Linked DNA regions of Styela clava. The protein of the gene in region 1 purifies or fractionates together with the protein of each later gene. This does not show direct contact. Links are inferred from orthologs where the notes say so. Each region holds a gene or a part of one and is shown on either strand. Other genes may lie near its edges.

The links. The genes of interacting proteins can lie anywhere in the genome.
Region 2: the proteins of putative ATP-dependent RNA helicase DDX6 (region 1) and protein LSM14 homolog B-like purify together in Caenorhabditis elegans (affinity purification with mass spectrometry; 3 studies listed by BioGRID, with this or other methods). This does not show direct contact. The link is inferred for Styela clava from reciprocal best matches to the Caenorhabditis elegans genes cgh-1 and car-1.

What each region holds. Positions count from the first base shown.
Region 1 is NC_135253.1:748,526-757,349, reverse strand, and holds the start of putative ATP-dependent RNA helicase DDX6, read right to left. Parts: upstream 3,519-8,824; 5' UTR 3,266-3,518; coding exon 3,099-3,265; intron 2,227-3,098; coding exon 2,163-2,226; intron 2,024-2,162; coding exon 1,891-2,023; intron 1,421-1,890; coding exon 1,319-1,420; intron 800-1,318; coding exon 653-799; intron 1-652. UniProt on the Caenorhabditis elegans protein: Probable RNA helicase required for oocyte and sperm function. Also required to prevent the physiological germline apoptosis mechanism killing essentially all developing oocytes.
Region 2 is NC_135262.1:5,623,489-5,632,309, forward strand, and holds the start of protein LSM14 homolog B-like, read left to right. Parts: upstream 1-5,085; 5' UTR 5,086-5,097; coding exon 5,098-5,218; intron 5,219-5,861; coding exon 5,862-6,037; intron 6,038-6,678; coding exon 6,679-6,898; intron 6,899-7,409; coding exon 7,410-7,509; intron 7,510-7,913; coding exon 7,914-8,053; intron 8,054-8,483; coding exon 8,484-8,648; intron 8,649-8,821. Other genes in the region: transcription initiation factor TFIID subunit 4-like, read right to left, coding at 443-532, 1,127-1,308, 1,993-2,470. UniProt on the Caenorhabditis elegans protein: Transcriptional regulator. Involved in modulating embryonic expression of ATP-dependent chaperone cdc-48.1. May play a role in mRNA gene silencing, and RNA granule (P-body) assembly.

The DNA.
Region 1 (8,824 bases):
TGAAGCGCAGTTCGAAGAAAAGTATATACAATATCTTCACTATCAACTTTGCACTATATTGAATATATTATTTGATATAGATGTCACGCTCGCGGGCCAAAATAAAGGTTGCATGCAAGTCATTGGCGGGCCGCACATATATTTAGAAAGTTGGCCGATAAATCACATTTTTTCACACAGATCAGAAGTTTAATTTTTAGCAGCGAAGACTGACCATTTGAATATTTTCTGCACCATTAAACCAATTGCACTTAGCATCAACTTTTCTGCATTTTGTTGTCATTTGTCTAATTAAACTTGAATTATAGGCTCATTTAACGAGTAATTGGAAATTATATACTTGTTAGGTTATTATAATATAATTTAGTCTACACGTGTCTCAAAATAAATTCTGTTACGTAAAGATTATAATCGTCAATAGAGTTTTTATGCAATAGTGAGGAGGTTAGAGGTATGAAAAATCTCAAATTAGGCAAAGGGAGGAATTCATCAAAAAGGTTAAGTACCTATTGGTTTCTTGAGATTTGGGACAAAAGGAAAAAGGTATATTTTCTGCACAGCTTGATCAAAGAGTTGCAAGGAAAGTCTTTTTATATACAGTATAGATGAACTAATATTATAACTAAATTTTTACTTATCCAAAAGATCTTACCATTGCTTTCAAGTCTGAGAATATCATCTCTTAAGTTGGTTCCTCCAGTTGTGGCCATCACATTTAAATTTCCCATGTGCCTGCTCATTTCAATGGCAATTTGTGATGTTTGCAATGCCAGTTCACGTGTTGGCACCAAAACCATGGCTAGTATAACATAAAAGAAAGCTTTGTCATTTGTAAACAAAAAATGACCAATACCTAAGTAAACCAAGTATGTTAAATATTGAATTGTAATGGCCTATAGATGAGAACATAATACTGCTATTGTTTTATCAGTATCAAAAATATAGAGATCAACTTTTTGAGCAATGCATTTAATCGAAATATGAACAAGCTTTAAGAATGTCAATTACAGATATTACTGCACATACAGCAGCAAACCATTCGACACTAGTAAATAGTAAAATAAAATTAATAAAATCAAAATAAATATGAAACCATAATACTATTGTTGCATGTATATTCCAGTCAAGAGTACAACCTATCTTGTTATCAATCAGCAAGAGTACATCATTATCTACAACCAAAATTTCAGTTTTTCAAGAGCGAATGGAACAAATGAAACTACAAATACTGTTTTATGTTATAGTTTAAACTAATTTAGGCTATCATTAGATTATATCCTGTTTACAAATATACATTGCAATATAAATTATGTGTTACCTTGAACATAATCTTTAGACATATCACATTTTTCCAACAAAGGAATCAGATAGGCACCAGATTTTCCAGTGCCATTTTTAGCTCTTGCTAAAATATCTCGACCTGGAATGACAGTGAATACACAAATAAAGACATTCTGACTTGATATATTCATTGGAACCAATTTGAACAGATTACTAATAAGACAAATGAAGTTAGTAAATTTAGCACAAAAAAAATATACTGGTACATATAAATATATACGGTAGATCTTTACGAGCCAATTCTAAAACATTTCATACTGTTACACAGTATAACCTGTCATATTTTAGTCATTTCCTTATCACTCTGTTACTGGGCTCTAATATTATAATTTCAAGTTTTAATTAATTTGAATATATATTTTAGGTATGTATCTTATACTATATCAACTAACAACATACAACAATGTTATAGATGCCGAAAAATAGGTTTATCCTTCACATGAAATTTATTATCACTCAAAGTGTAAAGCAATTTCTTAAGAGATAAAAAAGTAGAAACCACAGAGTTAGATAAAAATTCTATTAAGATTATTTATTCTAATATCTCACCAGATAATGCGATAGGAATGCTTTCTTCCTGAATGGGTGAAGGTTTCTCCCAGCCTTTTTCAAAAATACCCATCAATAATTCTCGCTGGAGACAGAAGTCTTCAAATTCATTTCCTTTAGTCGCTGTAACGTCCTGGCATATAAAGTAAAGTAATGAGAACTTCGCAATGGCAATCATGTAAAAGTCTCTCAAGAAACATTCTTCTTTCGATTAAATGTAAACAGGTAAAATACTTGTCGAATGTGTAATCATCAATTGTTAGTGCACTTACAGTAGTTTTCTTTCTTCTGTCTTTTGGTGGCAAATGTAAATTTGATTTCCAATCTTCTCCTTCCCTAATGTAAATAAATAAGCAAGTTTGGAAACAAATGAATGACAATCCGTTAACCAATATAACTAGCAAATGTTATCAGGCCAAAGCTTGCATTCATAAGCATTTCAACATTATTCTGCAGGTAGCCATGTCTAGTTATGTGCATTGTATGACAAGTTTTTGGCCTATAGTCTTTCAATATGAAATCCCAAAATAATACATTTCCATTTTTAATCCTGTCGAATAATCAATTTTTTTCGATATTTTTGGTATCAGTTTCTGACAAAGGTATGTATAAATTTACCCATTCCAATTACAAAATTAGATGTAAAGGAATACATATGAAATGAATTGAATATTAGAATAAATTTGATTTTAAGAACACCGAAGAATGTCTTCCATTTTAAGTACTGAAATCATACAAGATAATAAGCCTATGTTTTTTTCTTGAACAAACAAAAAAAAATTGTAAAACAGACACCTTCTTTGGATTCCTGCGCACTATTTTTGCTAAATCACGATCTAATTTCGAATGAATTCAAAGTACAGGGTGAAAAATTTTGAATTTTTTTGAGAATGTTAATGTAACATAACATTAGATTTTAAATATTTAGAGACGATTCCGGCATAAAATCATTCAATAGTATGCTTTGTTCAATCATAATAATAATTTTGTTTATAGTGTATTCTTTGTGACTTCGCTTTAAGCTGATATTTATCAAAACAAATATGGATATATATATTTATCCATTTATTAACTGAATTAGTCAATGATTGTCAACTGCAACTGCATACATACTATCAACCACAGACTACTGTCCAAGGCAATAAGCAAGTAGCGATATAGAATCAAACCTATTTCCTGAAAAACAAAGTTGAAAAAATCCTGCTTACCCAACTTTGCCAGATTGAGGGTGAGAGTTAGCAACAGGCTTATTGTTCTGTTGACGAGAACCTTGAACTGAGTTTGCAGAAGGTTGTCTGCTTGGTCCATTACCAGCAGAATATTTGTGCCCTGATGAGGGCATATGCTGATTAGTTGGTGGCATAACGTTCGCCATTATTCAAATCTGTTCCACAGGGGCGATAAATTTGTAGAAAATTACCAGCATTCAATGCGCAAATTCCCTGAGATCACCACCACAGAAATTGTTAAGTCAATGTAGAACTTATGTTCTGTTAGAAAGTCACAAAAAACTCAAGATGTACAACTGTTTCCTCTGAAGTGCACTGTGCAGAAATTCAAAAATTTCTTTAAATAACTGCTTAATTATGATTCATTCCATAATATGCTATAAAATTTCATAAATAAATAAGATAAAATACAGATGAATATCAGTATCAGTATTGAATGGTATGAATCTCTATCACTAAGATAAGCAAGTATTTCTGAGGGTTATTATAAGCAACAGTGTGGTTAATAAATAATATACTGCATTTCAGTACAAGATAAAATTATGATCATAACAAGAGTAAGTGCTAAAGTGGGCATGCACGGATTGCCTGTCAATATATTTTCATCTGGCTATCAGTATCAGCTATGAATTAGATATATTCTTACAGGTAATATTGAAATATCATGCTCAGAAAATATGAGTGTCATATCATTTTTCATTAAAGTGCGAATATCTAAATAGCAAACCATATTTGATTACGGTACATGCATTGAGGGGCGGTCAGTGGTTAATCTGTGTTGATGTTCAAAGGCAAGGTTTGGCAGCAACTGACACAAAAGAAAATTATGAAAAACTGATGGACCCACTTCAGTTATTGTATAGATAAGAGCTTAGCAAACTATATTCCCAACTTGTACTACAATGGTGCATCTTTGAACTTGTGACACTAATATCAGTGCTTGAAAAATTGGGATGTCTTCTGGAATGCAGTTTCCTTATTCATTTTTATGATGCAATAAACATTCTTTGCTAAGTATCAAAATCTAATGGTTAGACATGTTAGCCTGAAATGGTCACTGACCACAGATATGGTTATTATGCTTGCACACCTTACTTTCATTTAATGATAATTGTTACCATTGAGCTAACAGCACCACGATGCTATTTTGTTTGATAGACATATGTTGCTTGACACATACTGATTCACCAGTGATCTGTTTTCTATAGTGTGGTGCCAAAGTGAAAGATCGGATTCAGCATTTATTATTACACTAGTTTGTTAGTTTTCGGGTAAAATTTAATGGTAATAGGCAATTGCACATGCTAGGTTGAAAATGCTAAATGATAAAATATGACAGAATTCATCTTGCATTCATTCAATCAAATATTGAAATGTTGTAATTGTAAGTTTACATTTTTCAGTTAAGCATTTTAAATAACAATAACATTAAATCAGAATGTGTCGCCAAAATATATCACCTACATGGGAAGTTTGGAAAGCACTACTATAGATGTTATCAAAAGCTCCATTATGCTTTCATTTTTCACTTGCCAATATAATCTTCTATTCTTTCTTCATAGACAAAAGCAATGGGGTGTAGCAACTTGTTCAAAAGGAAGTTAAACTCGCTATTAATGAGCTAAATCAATTTCATCTCAGCTTAATAAACGTTGAATTGGTACCGAACTACAGCCGTAACGGCAGGCTGCACTTACTAAATAAAAGCAATTACGGCGATTCACCCCATAGCAGGGCTACTCAACTATTTTCACCAAAGGGTCGTACACAAAACATATAAATTACAGTGGTCCGGCCATTCTAAAAATTTTATTTTAACTCTGCAAACAAAACTCCAAGTGCATCATTTAACAAATACAAGATCAATGCTAAATATCACGCATTGGTAATGGTATGACAAGGCTTTACTAGTCTGGCTCTCTAGCTGGCCGCTGACTTTGTTTAATAAATAGGAAATATTTGGCGATAACACTTATTATACTGCTGAAGCCAATGGGGATAAATACCCACAATACGATTTCATTTCGATCTTTTGTCTACAAAACAGAACATGAATAAAATAAAATACACAGAAAATGGCGACGAAAAGATCGGGAAAATGGGCAAAATCTAGAGAAAGGTTTATAACAGGTGCTGTAACCAGCGTTTGTGCCCATGTACCCATTCACCCACCCTCTTAAAATCAAAGCTACAGAGAACTATCCAAATTACAGAACTAGAGCCACAAAATGCTGAAATAGCTTACCAAAGACAAAAAGAGAATTACCCAAGACAGGCTACAAGTAGCAAAAAATAGCAATGATATTTCAATGTGATATCAAGAAAAAGACTTTTATTCTTACAAGTATTAGGAAAGGACAAACACACTGTTAGTTCTTAATCTGGATTTTGAGTTTTTCCCTTACGAATATCGATCCATTGTTGTGTTTTGTAGAACACCAAATGTGTTATTCCCGGTGACTCTATGGAACAATTTTGCATGTTGTGATTTGCAATATATTTTTACATTGCCAGCTACATGTTTTGTGTCATTGCCCAATCAGTTGAGTTATGGGGTTTAAACAAAACTGCACCAAAGTTACATAAAAGACTCATTAAAAACACAGTAAAAATATAGCGTGGCACTACGGGACGACAGGTCCACCACGCAATAACGTTTCATTGTGTTGTAAATTGTCGCGATGGTACAGCATGAGCCCTCAATATTTTCTGGCGCAGTAACTGAATGACCCCGCTATGACACACTTAAGTTAACTACTCAATGTAACACTGTAGATCTACAATGATGATGTGCACATTATATGTGACACTACAGGGCATTTTTCCACCTTGGAACAGCGGCCTCTATCATCTCTTAAAATTCAGGTTATAAGATAAGATTAGGATTTACATATTTATCTCGGGGAGAGGAAAGCCGATAAGACGGCTTATCCATATGACGAACCACGGCCTCTCGTCCGGTTACCATTCCAAGTCGGGTATGGGATTAGTTATATTGTTTGTTTTCGGAAGCATGGACTTGGTGGTGGGGGAAGCCGTAACCGACCAGCAGTTACGTGAACCACCCAACGACGGCGAGGAGTCCAGCAATCCTCTCGCACATAACCATCCCTGCATGGGATTCGAACCTGCGAACCCACGCAGAGTAATTAGAGGTGCGGTGGCGAGTTCAGCCCGTTGAGCCACACCGCCGCGCCGATAAATCGTTAAATAGGTAAAAACATGTCCTACGGCACTGCAAACACTTAATCTTTATTAACATAAGTCCAGTGCATCTATTCGAAATAACTGTACCAGACAAACAAACACTTCGTGTTACAAGTCATCACAAAACATGTCAATTTTATCAAAATTTCTACATTTCAGGCCCCTTTGTGTAAATGATTAAAAACCTGGGTAAAATTTTAAATTTTCCAGTGAACTGAATGCAGTCCAATAAAATACAAGTGTTATTTGATATAAAAAATACAAAACAATTACTTTCACTGCACTTTTGAACAAATTTGCTTGTAATAGCCCAAATAAAAATTTTCAGATTTTATGGAAACTTTTCGAATAACTACTATCCTTGATCAGTTTTGACATCAAAAAAATAGCAATGGCTTAATGGCTCACAGTGGAACAAATGCCTAACAAATCCAAATCCAGGGCTAAAAAAACAAAATTAAAAGATTTTTCCACCGAAATATAAATAAGAATCATCTAAGACAGGCAGTTTGTAGCTAGAAATAGTAATGCCATTCTAATATGGTGTATTAAGTTTTCTTAGATGGGCACATACCCTAACATAAGTTACCCTATTATCGTCACACACCAATGTTCACCACGCGCCTTCAGGCTGTCAGGACCATCCCACTTTCAGATAGCGCTAATATGAGTTGTTTTCAGATTGCGATGTCATGAGTGATAACTATTGAACTTATTCTGTCACTCGGTGGCATAAGGGCATTTTCATTCAAAGTTAAAAACGATTCTCATAGGGCTCAGAAAAATGTTTGAAAAAAATTAAAAGTAATAGCCTTCCAGCGGCAACAACTCTATTACGAGACAGCCTCCATATCGACTCAAAGCGGCAAATTGGCACTGCGTAATGAACTAAAATAAAGTGCAAACTACAAACGTCACCATTGGATTACACTGAAATTTTTTTAGCTTAAAAACACAATTTAGCTTAAAAACAAAATTTTTAACTATACCGAGGCCTGGCGCAATCTGACGCAAATGTCATCATGCCAGATGCCCTCGTTTCAGAGACAAATAGAGTGTTTGTTTTATTGAACCAAATGTATGGACATCTTGGAATTTTAAGAACTGTGGGGTTTCAGAGTTTGCACTGTTAATGAATGTTCCCCCGAGCATCAACCTCTCTGTCTATTATGATGACAATGACCAAATCAGCAAAAAGCTGAGAATTATCAATTGAAACTATACAGCTATGGCCTCACTCAGACTAACAAACATTCAGATATTGGCTGGTTTTATGCGGTCTTACTACTTACTGAATACAGCGCGAAACACCGCAAAGAGCGCAAAACAGTGGGGAAACAGCGCGAAAGAGCGCAAAACAGAGGGAAACAGTGTGAAGCAGAAAAAAATTTTGCAATGAGTTCGGAGCACCTTGTTTTGAGTTGGAGTACCACGGCAGCAAATTCAAAACACAAACGAACATATGTAGCCAGTAATGCTGTAATGGCAGGTCTGCCCCTGCTGGTGACACATTTTGGGTACCATAATTTAGAACATTTTCCATATGGATATGGTTGGCTTTAGGGTTAGGGTTAGGTAAAAAGGGACCTCCAGAAGTATGTGCACCAAGATGGCGCACAACCTGAAAATAGTATGTGTGTGTGTGTGTAACGGATTCAGGTTGTGCGACATATTGCTGCACCTGCACATACTTCTGGAGCACCAAAAAGGTAGATAAAATTTCGCATGATGACCTATAATCCGGTACATAACCTTGTATATATGCCGGAAATAGCGCCATAAAACCATGGCGAGAGGCGCCGTGGTTCTTTCGTGGCAGGAGGTGGTAATGACTGCGTCTCCTGTTTTGCGCTGTTTCCCTCTGTTTTGCGCTGGTTTCCTTCTGTTTCGCGCTGTTTTCCTCTGTTTCGCGCTCTTTGCGGTGTTTCGCGCTGTATTCAGTAAGTAGTAAGACCCGGTTTTATGTGCCATTAATCAGTTTTTAATTATTTCTAAACTTATACCTGCAGAGTGCAGACCTGGGGAAACTTCCAGTAATATGTAACATACTTTCTTAGAATCAAACATGCCCTCAGGCCTCATTGACTTTTGGTTTCTTTTTTATCATGAAATATGCCTAGAAAACAAAAAAAAATTGGGGAACAACAATTCAGCAATTTGAATAAAAACACCTTACTGCCTTAAGGCATTTCAGGGAACGCCAGTCTGCGGTTGAAATTACTGTACTAGACTAGACTTAGACAAACTAACAGTACTGACAAATCTTAACTGCTAAATAAATTATGTTATAATTTCATGGAGTCTAGCCAAGTAAAACGATGTACCTAACTCCTTAAAAAACGCCAAACAGAAATGTGATGTGAAATTCATATGTTTGGCGTGGAATGAAATACTTGACAGACACGTTTAGTTAAAATATAATCCTCTCAATTTTCAACTAAGGTGGTATATCCCATTCCAAAAAGGTTATAGCCTTCCGTTCGAGACTTTTATTAAAA
Region 2 (8,821 bases), on another chromosome or scaffold:
TGCAATAAGTGGTGAATTCTGTGAGATCAGGGGTGTCCGAAAACAAATGGAGTATTAGAATGCATTTGAACTTGGTAGGACACAGATGAGCTAATTAACAAATTTAACTTCTATTAACAGTCTGAGTGATTTTCACTGTAGACATGGCCCATTTCAGAACGTATTCGGTATTCCATATTTGGAAATATTATTTCAGAATGGTAAATTATTGGGTTTTAGACAACATATTATATCATCTGGGCATAAAATCACAAATAATTAATAAATCTTATTAATATAATCAATCAAAAAAGAAAAATCATTATTATTATTAATAAACAAAGATATGCCATGATTTCACAATGTATTAATGGAAAGGAAGATATTACAGACGAGTTACTGATACTGGGCATAAAATAAATATAACTTGAAAAACTTTGTGAAAAATACATTCCATACTTACTTGCTTAGCAGCAACAGCTTTAAGGTTAATTGAATTTGTAACTGGAACCACTGTTCTTGCTACCACCTGACCAGCTGTTGTTGCAGTTATCTTAATAGAAAAATGGAATCAATAGATTTTTTCATCCTTTATTCTGTTGAGCCTGGCTTTGACTTTTTTTGTAAGAAGACGATATGAAACAAATTGTCAAAAGAATGGAATGGAAATTAGCAATAAAAAGTTGCTCGATTGTGTTTCATACGATAAAAGCAAATTTACATAATCGTGGTAAGATTTTGATTTGTGCAAAACATTTGCAGAATAAAACATACAGAAATGTTTACAAAAAATTTGAGGCAGGTGTTTTCAAAATTCCCTTATTGGGTAGAAAGAGTACATGTACCATTTTGCTAACTATTGTAATTGTTGTTTTCTTGCAACTAATAGACCTAATAAAATCATATTTCAGTACTTCAATGTGGAATAAGTCCCTAGGAGGCTATTACTTCTATTTTGCTCAAATTTTGTCCTACTCAAAATTTTGCTGTTTTTTTTCCAATTCACAGAAATACTGTTATATGACATCTGTGAAACACCTACAATTACTAAAAAAAAATGTCAGAAATTTTGCTAAAATTCCAGTATTCATTTAAAATCTGGGCACTTATAATTGATCTTTGCTTTGTTATCAACTTTAATACTTACTGCGGGTTGAGGTGATGATGTCCCAACACCTGCTGTTGTCGAATTTTTCAACGTTGTTACGGTCCCAGATGTTGCGGTCTGAGTTACAGGAACTGTGGATGTATTTGTAGTAGATGACGATGACAACGAATTACTACTCACAAGCAGCAACTGTCCATTCTGATGTCTTGCTAGAACCATACCTGTATACGGTTGGAATCAAAAGTAATATGGGAAATCAGCGAAAAGCACAGATCATTCATCATACAGGAAGTAAATCAAGAAAAAAGCTCCATCAAACCATATAACCAGCGTGTAGATAGGCTCAGCATGTTCACTAACAGCCCTGTATCGATGCTCAACAACTTTCAATCAGTTCCACATTCGAGGGCTTATGATATTGTGTGGAACATAACTCTTTATATAGGAATGTAATGCTTGATAGTAAAATACAGTTCACTTAATTGAAAAAATAAGAAAAGGGGACATATTAACTTTCAGTATATATAGCTAAGCCTGTTCCAGGGGGTTTTGATCCCTTTTGCCACATCCAACTTGTATTAGACTGGTTTTCTGTCGCTGTAATATTCAAGCTTGAATAATGATGGAAAATTATCGTGGTGAAACAGTACAGCTAAGGACATGTGCATGAAAACAAGCTTCATGTATCGTAATAGTTAAGTTTGAATATATTTTAAAACTTTTAATTTTATTATTTAAGTTTGAAAAAAATAAATTCTTCATCCACTGCATTGTCGTATTAAAAACTTAGGAACCTTTGACCCAATAACAATAGTCCATGAGAGTTTCCAGTACATAATTATGTACCATTGTGACTGCATAGCGTATGAAAAAGGAATTAGATAAAAAGTAGAAATCAAATTAACCTGGAGGAATAGTTATCCCAGATGCTAGTTGCACTGCACCACCTTGTTGAGGACGCGCAGTCACCATTGGCTGAGTCGTAGAAACTTGAGCCTTCGATGTAGGATTCAATAAATTATTTTGCAAACCAGTATTTGATTGCTGCATTCCTGGTTGTGGAATTTTATTTACTGTGGTCAGAGTCGTTAATTGTTTTGCCACAGGTGTGGATGCTTTAGGCAACTGTGAATTTAAAACTAGGGTCGGCTGTTGTGGGGTTGGGGCCCCATAGCCCTCATTTAGACCTGTTGACCAGTCATTAAGCATCCCTTGCTGCTGAGAGGTGACCGGGCTAGCAGTCCTGACCTGCTGTACTCCGTTTTTTGCTGCAGAAAATGGAGGTAAACTATTCATTCCAGAATTATAGCTGTTCAACGTGTTTGGGGTACTTGATGAAGATGTGAGAACTGTGTCCGTCGATCCAGGTGGGCTAACCCTCATTGCATTGAACAAAACAGCTTAGATCTATACATCACCTTGAAAAAATATATTTAGAATTAATTTTTGACTACGATTGCAAGTTCTTAAAATAAATCTTTGCATTGAGATCTGGATTAGAATCTCTCGAAAAAGACCTTAGTCATTTAATCGCAATCCCACAGAGAGAAATAAAAAAGTTGCATTTATTTGTGGAATTGTAAAGGTGCAATAAACTTGATATATACATGAGTAAATGACTGAGCGATGCGGTGTTTGGCGCAGCGGTGTGGCTCAACGAGCTAAGCGTTAGGAATACGCTAGCCACCGCACCTCTAATTACTCTGCGTGGGTTCGCAGGTTCGAATCCCATGCAGGGATGGTTATGTGCGAGAGGATTGCTGGACTCCTCGCCGTCGTTGGGTAGTTCACGTAACCGCTGGTCGGTTACGGCTTCCTCCACCACCAGGTCCATGCTTCCGAAAACAAACAATATAACTAATTCCATACCCGACTTTGAATGGTAACCGGACGAGAGGCCGTGGTTCGACATATGGATAAGCCGTCTTTCCTCTCCCCCGGGATAAATATATAAATTCTATCCTATCTATTACTTGTGTGGGTCTGGTATAGCTTAGTACCACATGCACTTCTAGTTGGTCTGGCTCAACAATTTTTGAATGTCATTCCCAATCCCCGCCTGACTGCGTCACCAAAAAAATCTGTCACAGTGGCTTAAAAGTCCCTACAAAGTATGCGGAACGCGCAGACGATCACTCAAAATCAAGCAAGCTATCCATCATGTTTTCTCGCCACAACGATCACGCTATGAGAGAGATCGCGGGCGTTAGTGAGTTCATTATGGGCGGCGCAGATGACATTTCGGGTGATTGTAACTGTACTTTGGCAAGCTCCATTATGTGATTGTGACGTCGTAGTGATGTAATTTTTGGATGGTATAGTCAGGTGGGGATTAGGAATAACATACGCAAATTTCGTTATGTTACGCCCACTGGAAGTTCTTGTGGTACTAAACTATACTAGACCCGTTAAGTGCAATGCTACCACATGCTATGCTCGATCCAAACCTGAGGGGTTTGACAGACAGATCGGGCAAATTAAAAATACCCCAATAGAGCAATATGATATGAAAAATTAACAATATTAACAAGTCTAAAAGTGGTTTTAGACAATACCATATCGGTATGACTGCACTGCTATACATAACCATTATACTAGATAGGCTACACCCTTACATAAAAGTATTCTTCATACTGCAGTACTGTCATAATTGAACAGATATTTCCTGATTTCTGTAGTTTCATATGCCTATCTGTATATTCAGATATTAAATACTGGTCGTGCAATAGGTCACTATCACCCAGATATGTTACCCAATACTTGTATTATCTTGTACCTTGGTACTTGATTGTTGTGCTCTGTCAAACAACAACATGTCAAGAATCCTATATCACAAGACACTTCTTTTGCATTACACAGTTACAGGATTATTAAAAGAAATGCTGAAAGTTGATGTATAAACGACTGACAATAATATTCGAAACAGGTCAAGCACCCTTTACAACTATAAACATATCAGTAAAAAAATGTATTTAGCAACTAACTATATGATCGTTCAGTGGGCCATTAGCTCCACCAACTCACAACTCCCAAATGCACACCTCGAAACCTCGGGCGCGAATGAAGCGCAGCGACCCGTTGGGCGCCATCACTACTCCACGGCCTTCACAACAAGAATGAAGTGCGCATGCGTCATCATTTTCCGATTCAAGGGAATGGATCGTGTTTTAAAATGAAGTACGGTCATATGAAAAATTAAAAACATTGTATTATGAATTTTTTTTTTAATTTTTATTGTATTGCAAATGTAAATTTATGTTATACAACAATCTTTTTAATCGAATAAACAAATATCAGTGTATTTACGTTATAAAACAAGTCTCCGCTGACACCCCCTTCATATATAACAAGTGGTTCACACCGCGGTCCTCAAATTTTGCTTTTTTCTTTTTCTCTCATTTTCATTTTTCATTATATCACAGAAAAAAGAAAAAATGGATTTTCAGACGAACACTAGAGCGCGATTAAGAGCAACGCGTCATACAATCTGAACGCGGGTCATGAAGTGTTTTCATGCCTTATCCGTTGTCGCTATTTCAAATTGGTAGGAAATCAAACTGTTAGTTATCGTTTCTTTCTTGTTAATTTACACGAGGCAGGACTTTTCTCTGAGATTTAATATACTCGGAATAGTATCAATGGTAATACAGCTTTAATGAAAACAAGCTCTGAAGTTATTTGGCTATCCGTGTCAGGTGGTGTCACATTGGTTATTTGCTTTTTAAATACCGTAGTGGGATGTGATATTTGCTGTTCAGCAGTGCAAATTGGGAAATCATTGTTTATCTCAAACTTAGTTTGTTAGTTCTTAATGGACTGCAGCACATATGTAGACTGGATTTGTAAATAAAAAAATGTACCATAATGACAGAGTTTGGAAATAAAAACCTGTCTCTCTCGTTCTCTTGGAAATCTTTTATGTCTGTATGTGCAGATACTGAGATGTGTTTGGTAACTCTTAAAAACTATAAAAATATTTCATAATTTTTACCTCCTAGTTTTTTGGCGATATGAGTTGTGGAACTCCATATATCGGCAGTAGGATTAGTTTGATATCAAAGGCAAAAATCCGTTATGAAGGAATTTTGTTCACGATTGATGCTGAAAATGCTACAGTTGCTCTGGCAAAAGGTATATTTTACGTTTCCTTATAAATTTGTCAATTTATGATGTTCGTTACACAATTTATTTATTCGAGTTTTATTATAAATTTTACTTGAGGAATATTGATTATATGTAGCAAAAATTTATATATTGTATAAATTAAACTGCAAAATATTATACTTCCTGACTTCATAATAATATACATTATATTATTGAATTGATAATAAGGATGATTAATATTATATTTTTGAAGTCTTGAAAATCTGGTCTAGGTATTGCAGACAAAATGCTGATGCCAAAAACTGAAATATACCATGCTTTCCATTGTGGTAATAGGCTTTACCACAGATTTCACTTAAATTTATGGAAGATACAAAGCAAAATATACCTGCATTCCGGCTACCAGCTGCCTCATTCTAACTTGAAAAAACAAGCCTAATTATTATATTCGCTATTCCAGATAAAAGGAATATTAATGCTGTGATATATCAGTCAATTCATCAATTTTAGTTAAAATGAAGCATAATCATAGTTTCCCAATTTTGCACCATTTTTTATTATCTTGTATTATGCATATGTCAGTTAATTGAGTATTATTATTAGAGTTTTTACCGATATATAATGCTTGGCACAATTTTCCAAGAAAAAACTTATTTTATTCCATTTACAGTTCGATCATTTGGCACAGAAGATCGGCAGACCGAATGTGTAGTCCCTCCACGAGATGATTTATATGAATATATTATATTTCGTGGAAGCGACATAGAAGATCTGACAGTATGTGAACCTCCGAAGCCACAGCAGCCACCAACGACTTCTTTGCCACAAGATCCTGCTATTGTACAGGTGAAATGAATTTTATCTGCTTCAAAGTAAATACAAGTTTCAGAGTGGAACGAGTCTTTAACTCGAAACAAGTTGGATATAATATAATTTGATAATGCAGATTAGTTGGAAATGTTCTTTTTCAAATTTTTTATTTTTATAGTACAAGAACTTTAATGGAATTTATTTTTTGTCTGAACATCAGATGGCAAATACTTGAAAATGTCAAATTTTCAAGTGAAACTATCCTAAATCATTTATTATATCAAATAGAACTAATTTAGTATATATTTCATTTATTTTGGACCCTGTTCTTATAATTCTAACATGAAACAATTTTGACTTCCTGTCTCTTTCCAGCCAAGTGTATTGTATATTACCACCACTATCATGTCACTGCACTAGATAAAAATTTAGCACATGGAATTACACCCAAAAGTTATTGTTTCTAGATATATTTATTTTTTAGTCTTGTATAATAGAGCAAATCAAATTTTTTGCTGTAATGACATTTTCAATCAAATGACGACTTATTTTTGTGAATTTATGGTAATTATATATTGTTCCTCGACTTGAAGTCTACGTAATAGATATATGATATAGGCCTATCCTATATATAATTTATAGCTTTTCTTTGCATTTACCTTTGTTTCCTCTTACAGTCTGTTGTGACATCTCAGCATTCTGGAATGCCTCCTAATGCACCAACTCATATGCCGCCACCATACATGCCACCGTATGGATATGGAATGCCTCCGTACAACATGGTCCCACCCCCAAACCAACCACCGCATATGCCATCCGGTCCACCACCACCTGTTGGCCTACCTAGATCTGCACATCCACAGCCTGGTGCTGCCCAACAGAAGCCTCTCCTACAAGGTAACCATTGTTTATTTTTTTAAATAAGATAACTTCCTCACAAGGGTGTCGCACATGTGCGCTCAGGTGTAATGTAGACACATCTCAGAGCGAATTTATGGGCACAAAAACTCTTAAGATCTGCTATTACTATTTAGAATTAGGATAGCACATTACTCCAGGTCTATGAAATATGGCACGTTTCCATTTTCAAGCCGGAGTCTGTGTCATATTTTCAAACTCTCTCCGCTAGTCGACAGATAGGAACTGAAATTTTAAATTTTTGTGATACTCACAAATTTTGGTGGCAGTAATCGAGGTCAAGCAAGATATGTGATGAAACCCAAAAGCATTGAGTGGACTGATAATTAAAGAAGGCTTGCATATGCCAAACTTTTGTAATCAAAATTTGATTTTCTTTTACTTTAATTCTAAAGAATACTTAGTTTTATCTCCGGCAGTTTGAGATAACAAGTTGTGTTTTATTTTAGGCCTCTCATTAATCATTCTACTTTTTTTTAACAAAATCCAGGTGCTAAATCTGCTTCACCTGTATCACTTGGTAGAATTTCTCCGACATCAGATCAGGGAATTCAAACTGGAAGTCCACTAGCTCAGAATAATGCAGACAGGTGTGTGATTACTAAAATATGATTGCACTATTCGTTTTATTACATAGAGCAGGGGTGGACAAGGTTTTCGAACCAGGTGCCAAAAATTTTGCCCACTTAGACTTGCCGACCATGTAAGTGTGATGTAAGAAGTTACATTTTATGAACAATATTTACAGTGTCTTATGAAGCAAAGGTGGAAAACAATCAGCTTCGTGCCAAAACTTAATTTAACCGCAATCTCAACAAATTCCTTGATCTATTTTAGCTGAAACATCAAAATTTGGTTTTAGTTTGGTTGTGGCAGCATCAGGTGGGCCAGATTGAATTACCCAACGTGCCGGATTTGGCCTGTGGGCCGTACTTGGTCAGTGAAGGTCCACTTTCTAGTTATTTTGGTTTAACAAACTTTTTGTTTTACGTAGCCGTTCGTATGAGAAGCGTAGAGATTTTTATGATCAAGATAATTCGCGTAATAACGAGGGATCAAGAAATTCATACGATAATCGGAACAGGAACCAACAAAGAAATAACAACTGGAGAGGAAAAAATGATTTTCATCGAGGTTTGTGAAATCATACCCCCACGAATATTTGAGTACTGATTGGTGTTGTCAATTTCTGCTGATTTGATAAATATTCTTCTCTCTTCTATTGTTTCTGATGTTTTGTTCAAAATTGATTTGGATTTATTCTACCTTATATCACATCAACTTTATATATGTGTTATGCAAATTCTTGTGAAATGTCGGCAAGATTTCTGTATTTTTGTCTGCTTCATTTCAACACGATACATATTACTAGTAAAAGCCCGAAACCCACCTGATTAACTAAATCTCATACCAGCCTAAAGACAATGAATTCGCTTATCAATGTTTCAGTCAGCCATTGTTTATTTTTTCTTTCAATTTCAACATGTTATATGTGCAACAGAAACAGTTCAGCTCAGCTTTTTCACAGATTTCATCATGAATTTATAAATATTTATTCATCCAGGTAATAGAAGAGGAGGACGCTCGCGACCAAATAATAGAGGTCGATATAATGGACCACGTAAAGATGTTTTGTCTTTCCAAGGCGACTTTGATTTTGAAACCTCCAATGCTCAGTTTAACAAGGAGGATATTGCTAAGGAGCTCATGGATAAACTTAAAATAACAGGTAGGGGGACGTTTTTGATCTCACAATTTGTGAGTGGAGGATAATTTGGATTGCTGGACACTTGGCCATCTAGAGGTGGTCGACACAACGCGATCACTAGTCCTCACTAGATCACAAAGTCGATGCATCTGGCAAATTAAATTCTCATATCCAATGTGAATTTGAGGTTACGT